2 linked regions of the Nothobranchius furzeri genome follow. The protein of the gene in region 1 interacts with the protein of each later gene in a biochemical or structural test. Links are inferred from orthologs where the notes say so. Each region holds a gene or a part of one and is shown on either strand. Other genes may lie near its edges.

What was found.
Region 2: the proteins of rlim (region 1) and lhx3 form a complex in vitro, tested with the Homo sapiens proteins (2 studies listed by BioGRID). The link is inferred for Nothobranchius furzeri from reciprocal best matches to the Homo sapiens genes RLIM and LHX3.

Annotation. Positions count from the first base shown.
Region 1 is NC_091741.1:98,396,559-98,400,845, forward strand, and holds the start of rlim (E3 ubiquitin-protein ligase RLIM), read left to right. Parts: upstream 1-1,167; 5' UTR 1,168-1,299; intron 1,300-3,046; 5' UTR 3,047-3,105; coding exon 3,106-3,274; intron 3,275-4,287. UniProt on the Homo sapiens protein: E3 ubiquitin-protein ligase.
Region 2 is NC_091746.1:57,050,300-57,053,364, forward strand, and holds the end of lhx3 (LIM/homeobox protein Lhx3), read left to right. Parts: intron 1-435; coding exon 436-869; 3' UTR 870-2,261; downstream 2,262-3,065. UniProt on the Homo sapiens protein: Transcription factor.

The sequences.
Region 1 (4,287 bases):
CGCCACACCGACGCAGAAGCATAAACTAGGCTTTAGGATTCTACAACCCCCCCAAGGTGCTTCACAAAACAATCAGTCATTCACCCTTTCACTCACACACGCTGTTGGGGATGAACTACAATGTAGCCACAGCTGCCCTGGGGTGCACTGACAGAGGCAAACCCTGCTGAACACTGGTGCCACTGGTACTTCCAATCACCACCAGCAGGCAAGGTAGTCAGAGCCAGGATCTAACCTGCAGTCTTCCAATCACTGGACATCCCTCTCTACTTCCATGCTCACATATACAGTATTCCTCTTGCATCAAATCCATTACCCCAAAAACTAAAACATGTCAAGAAATGTATATATATATATATATATATATATATATATATATATATATATATATATATATATATATATATACACACACATACATACAAGATTATTATGTAAGCCCATTCCCACCATGCAACAATCATTATTACAATTACTTTATATCAAAGTGGCGGGAATGGGCTTCCATAATAATAGCATTGCTCTAAAAATACCAATGTTTCAATTTATATAACAAAGGACTTCACAGTCACCATGCACGAATATGACACTTGGGTAAAGTCTTCATAGATTTAGAACCACATTGTGTCATAAGCTGTCAAAAAACAAGTTGTTCTTTTTTAGATTTCTCTATCATCTCTAGAGAAAGCAACACGATTAACCCTAGGCTAGACAAGATGACATAATAATATTTTATACAGACAGCAAAAAAGTCGCTTCATTAATCTGGGTAAGTCTAAAAAGCTAAATCAGACAAATATCAATCGGTTCCTCTGCATATTCCTGCATACAGTATATGTTCTGGCCACACTGTGACGCTACAACTGAAAGCAGCACCCATCTTCGAAACTAACGTCCGTCGCTCTTGCTTTCCTATGTTGATTCAAATATCAATGTGCCCTGTGTTTCGTCTTTAAGGCAACAGGTTTTGAGCCATTACATACAATTTTAGATTTTATATAAGTGGAAACGTTTTAATAAATGCAATAATACTCTAATTAATTAATTAACCATCGCATTTGTCTTTATTGTGGTAGCAGAGCTAGACGTACATTTGAAATGTCTGCTAGTGAGTGGTCTGCGTGAGCCTAGAAGACTAAGCTGAGGGTAAAATCGTCTCAAAGCTCTAGTTCCGGAAGATCATAACAGCTCTCACAAGAAAGAAAATGGAATCCTGAGGTAGCAGTTAGTTAATTCGATCCTTGTTGCTGAGAATTAAAAAAAAACTGTTTCACCCCGGCATATTACGTCGCCGAGCAGGTAAAGTATAAGTGGTTTGGTTACAGTAAACATATGTTGTCGTTAACTTTACTTTCTTACATAGTACATTTGATGTTCACTCTGTTTAGATGCGAACGCTGAACGTCACTGGTTGACGTCGAATGCTAAGTTAGCTTGCGGTTATGCTAATATTAGCTTAATGGATGTTCGGCAGCACCATTTAACAACAGACTAAAAAGTATACTTCTGATATAGACAATCAAATATATTTACAAAAGAAGTAAAACGGCCACTAAGGTATTTATTTGTTTACTGGCCGTTAACAGTAGAGACCATTGCTAACTACTCGGCTATTTTGGGGTATGTTAAATAGCATTTATTAGCCATTAGCTTTCAGCAAAAAATCCAGATAATCAGATTCAATCACTTCTTGTTAGCTCTTCTTGACATTTACACACATTCGATCATCTTTTACGTAACCGAGGTTGCGGCATTATTGTCCTCATTCAGGACAAATCAGGAATGTAAACGAAAAAAAAAACGACCGCTAGAAGACGTAAGCTAAACCGTACGATGCCATTTTGTTTTTAACTCGACTTTGACCAACATATTGATTCGCGACAAGACTTTTTATCCAACACATCCTCAAATGATAGTTTTTATTAACAGATGCTGATACGTGTTTATTGTACCTAGATGTCAGTTTGCGGTCAGAGATCAGGTGACTCAGCTTGTTTTTCAGTTTTTGTTGTAAGGCCACCTGAGCATGTCAGTGTTCTTGTAACCGTGAGCTGTGCTAACATTATCTTCATGTTCTGCACCGGTGCTGAGTGCTGTATGGTACGGCATGACGTTGTGACATACAGTCAAATAATGAACTCATAAATTTACTGTTTTATATATAAACTATAAAACTCTTCCTAGTCAAATTTAAAGATTTGTAAGACAAGACTTTAAAACCATAGTTCAGGATAAAGTGGGAAAAACATAAGAGCATTCCTTAATACTTAATAAATGTTTAGTTTAACAATCATTGGCTCATCTTGACATGCATGGCAGATATTTAGATTTCAAATGGTCTGAACCATGATTTTTACATAACCAGGAGTGATTTCTGCTCTGAAGATAGTTTAATACAATACTACATTACCATAGTTTCTCACACTTTGCTTAACTTTTCATTAATAATTATGTTGTATACATATTCTATAGATGCATAAAGATGCTATAGAAAACATTTTCATGTGCTTTTGCTTGAATTTTTTTCATATATAATCCAGAGCTGGTCGATTACTTTCTGGGTTTTCAAGGATCGTTAAAACAAAATGAGCCGATTATTTGCTCCTCCTTAATGGTTTACTCTAACATTGCTCAGTGTTGCAAATCAAGCGCACCTCCCACTACAGTGTTGCCAACTTTGCAGTATTGTCGCCATTTCTAACAACTTTCCAGACCACCTTAATGACTGTTTTTTTTCTTAAAAGTGCCTAGCAAAACCAAGCAACATTTCTGATAAATAACAGTTCATCTATATGACTTACAAGTTTCATTACACTACTGTACACACTACCCTGCAACACCACTTCGACTCCCAACTGGAGAAATTTGTCTCAAAACAAAAGTCCTGAAAACAACAATGTTTAAAAGCCGCAAGTAATGTTCAATAAATTTGTGATCTCAACGCTAATTGAAGATTGTTAAATAATCAAGACCTCAGTTTTAATTTCATCATGATAATAATTTTTGCCATAAGTGATCAGCCCTAATATCCTGTAATTTGTTGTAGCATCTGGATCTATCTGAACTTCTGAGAACGCCCTGTAGACCACCCTCCCTTCAAAATCAATGGAAGGGTCTGACAATGCTGAGCGAGGCGGCAGTGACCAGCCAGAGTCACAACGCAGGAGGCAGCTGGACCGCCTGGATAGAGAGGAAGCTTTCTACCAGTTTGTCAACAATCTCAGTGATGAGGACTATCGTCTTATGAGAGATAACAACCTTTTAGGCAATCCAGGTGAGAAACTGTTTAAATTAGAAACACACGTCGTGGACTTGTGGAATAATGTGTTTTATTTTTTTGCTTTCTTATTCCACACTTTTCTAAATTAATTGTCCCTCCAAATCTGCCATAAAAAATTAATTTGTTTTGTTTCTGAAGGCTACTTCTTTGCTCCATTCTATATGTAAATTAGGGATGCAACTGAATTTCGGCCACCAAAATTTTTGGCCCAAAAATGACCCTAAAGTGCATTTTTGGTTATCGAACGAAAGAAAAACAATCACCATAATTGGCCATCAGTTTTAAAGTCATCTTTCTCCACCCTCATGTGGCTATTTGTTCTTTTCTTCTTAAAAATAGTACATTCTGATTTCAACAGTAAAGTTTTCCCCTTTTAGTAATGCTGTTTTATTCCGATCGCTGTTCATATCAACCATGACGCACGTTTTCTTTTGGTTTCACATTTAGCGCATCTACCTGCTACATCAGTCAGTGTTAGCAGTGATTTTAGCATCCTTTCTACACCCACCATGAGCTGAACATGGTGAAATGAGCTTGGGATTGTGTGTGTGATGCATGTTTATACTCATGAAGCACACAGACGCTTGTTGCTGCGAGCAGCAGCAACGTCACTTACTTCCTCACTGAACGAGTGATAATCTGCATCAGAGGGTGAATATTACTCTTCAGAATCAGTCAGACATTAACAGACAAAGAGCTTTGTCAACAATGAACAGACCTGTCTGTATTGTAAATTTCTTTAATATATTATAATATTCACCCTCTGTGCGCTCTGCTCGTCTCCTCCCTTCTCAGTCAGGAGCCTCCTGATGGGGGCATTTTTAAACTCTATAAAATCTAGAAATTTCAATACAAACACCCAAACGTGTTGCTCAGACTGAAGTCACAAATCTCTATCTTCTGGTGTAAAGTAATAACTTCATGATGGATTAAATTTGCTGCTGTGGCTCGTTAAATGCAAAATTGTGACTTTGGTGCCTAAAGGGTTAATTTTACAGTCCTCAGCG
Region 2 (3,065 bases), on another chromosome or scaffold:
ATTTTTCATGTTTTTAAACCATTTTCTTGAGCCAGTATGTGCTAAAATTATCCTTTACAGGGTTAATGAAAGGCCACCCAGCCCCTGCAGACGGGTGGCCGCTCTGTTGGGACTTAGAAAAAATGGAGCTGTCATACCTGGCGCTACAGTCTGGTTCCAGCACGTTTCCTGCATGTTTTAGATCATGAACACAGCTGTTTTGTTTCATTTGGTGATTAATCACCCCTGTAGACTCTAAGAAAGGCTGGGGAGACATGTCAGCTGTTAAATTAAGGTGTTAAAAGGACGAACGTATAGCGAGGAGATTGGTTTTGCAGTTGGTTCTACAAATGGACACTAGGGGGTGCTAAAAGTAAGCCAAAACTGCCCGGTCTCTCTTTAAATCACTTTGTTTATAGAGGCAATTTGACTAACATCTCTTCATCTGTCCTGCAGATGAGCCCCCCATGTCGGAGCTCGGCCATAACAACAGCATCTACAGCAGCCTGAGTGAGTCCTCTCCTGCTATGGGGGGCCGTCAAGGGGGCAACAACCATGGCTCCTTCCCTTTGGAACATGGCGTACTTCCCTCCCAAGACCAGTTCCACGACATCCGGTCCAGCAGCCCCTACGGCCTCCCCCAGTCTCCTGGGTCACTCCAGACACTCCCCAGGCACCAGCCTCTCATTTCCACCATTGTTTACCCCGACTCTGGCCTCTCCATCCTGACCCAGAGCGGTGGGCCTGGCATCAACCCCGGCGTCAGAGGCTCTATGGGAGCGGCAAACGGCCCCAGCTCCGACCTATCCACCGGCAGCAGCGGTGGGTACCCAGATTTCCCTGCCAGTCCTGCATCCTGGTTAGATGAGGTGGACCATGGGCAGTTTTGATTGGTCCAAAGATACTTGACTATTTCCTTTGCTTTATTTTCTGTGTCTTCTGTTCGTCAAGAAATGGAAAATTGATTCAAAGAACTGTGGCTTTGTAATCCCAGAAATATCCAATTCATTTATTACTTGCCATCTTCATGAAGGCAATGAAGAACATGTCCCCCCATTCAAGACATAAACTATAACAAAACACACCACTATACGCTGTTTTTACCAACTTCAAAACCATTTTCATTTTTCGGACTGTTTTCTGTTCACATCTCATCCTGCAGGTGTTTTATTTCCCCCTCAGCATGTTCAGGTCTTAAATGTCTGGTTGTTGCCAAATGTCTATATATATAAATATATATCATTGTGGAGACTTTATTTTTATACAAACCCCTTGTTGAACGTACATGTATGAAAGAACCAGGGCATGAGAACTTTGTACATTCTTGAACCGGGAATTAGGAGAAAATGTAGATGTCTTAACAAACGGTACCTAGGGGTCCAATGACTACTATGCATTTGTGTGTTCTCAGATGTGTCTTGTTTGTTTTCTTGTACTGGAAACCACCTCAAAAAAGAACCGTAGCAGAGTGGGATGGGGGGAGGGTGTGGTGTATATGTTTGTTTACGTGGAAGATGTTTTATGTATTATTTATTCCCTCTGGTAATGATGGTGATTCATAATTAAATGGCAGGACTTTAATAAATTTGCCACCTAAGTTAATGTGGAGTTTAATTATTTTATTTTCTCCAGTTGGTAAAATATGTCCAAAATAATCTAAAAGAGCCTCTGAAATCGCTTCAGGTTTTAGAAATTGATCGTGAAATTTTTATTGGAGCAATCACAAACAAGGGTTTGTGGTTGCATCACTATGGAGGAATTCTGACCCTTTCTTTGCGGAATGGTTTGATTTCATCCGCACTGGAGGGTTTTCCAGCGTGAACAGGTTGTTGAAGGTGACAGGCCAGATTCTCTCCCTCACCATTTTCTACTTGTTGTTCCATCAATTACAGAAAGTCTTCTAGGGTCCTGAAGTAGCAAAGCAGCCCCAGACCATCACACTACCACCACCATGTTTGACTGTTAGTATGTTTTTTTTTTTTTACATGCTGTTAGTTTACACCGGATGAAACAGGACACACACTTATCAAATAGTCCCACTTGTGTCTCATCAGTCCACGGCATATTTCCCCAAAAGTCTCGGGGATCTTGTCTTCTATCTGATCAGCAGAGGTTCTCACCTTAGAGAAGTCATTTTTGCCACCTTCTGTTTCTTTCATTGAGCCATGACCTCTGACCTTAACCCTACCTAAGTGAGGCCTCCAGTACGTTTGATGTTCTGGGTTCTTTGTTTTTTGTTGTTTAGTTTCATAACATTTTATTAAAAGTGATGTTCACGAGAAGTACTTGTTCTTTTTTTCACATGCATGCAGAGCATAAAAATACATGAAAATATAGTCTTCAACTCCTTTTTCCTCCATTGGCTCCAGAAAGAAAATAGACCGGAAAAACGCGCGGGTCAGAAAAAGCCAGCTCACACCTTTGCTTGCAAAGTCTGTTGTTCATTTAGCCTCCAGGAGAGAGCAGAGAACATCTCGGCTAGTGGAAGCTAACTGGAAGCTTCTCAACAACATGGTGGAACACGTTCAGGCTTGTGTTATTTGTGGAGATTGAACATTGTAGTATTTCACTCGTGAAAGAATGGGGAACGAAGGCAACAGGACAGTTGTGTTGCTGTTAGCCAATCAGAGGTGAGATGTTCGTATATCATGAATATTAACAAGACTCCAAATCCTGCTGTTTCCTGCCCCCCACTCTTAGTTCCACTTCCTCTTACACTGATGACGACTAAATAAAGGCATTTATTTATACTAGAGTCCACAGCAGATTTATTGGAATAACAAGTGTATGACTTCTCTGAAACTTGACTTAACTTGTTGCTTTTTGAGATGTTTTAACTAATTCATGTTTTCAGATAGGTTCTGTTGATGTGATGTCATAAATCTACACAACTGTCACTAATCAGGCCTGGGTTTGGCTACTGAAATTTACCTCAACTTTGCAAGTAAAGTTAAAGTTAAGTTAAAGTCCCATTAGTTGTCACACACACTGATGTGTGTGCGAAATTTGCTCTCCACATTTGACCCATCCCCTGGGGGAGCGGCGAGCTGCAGACACAGCCGCACTCGGGAACCATTTGGTGGTTT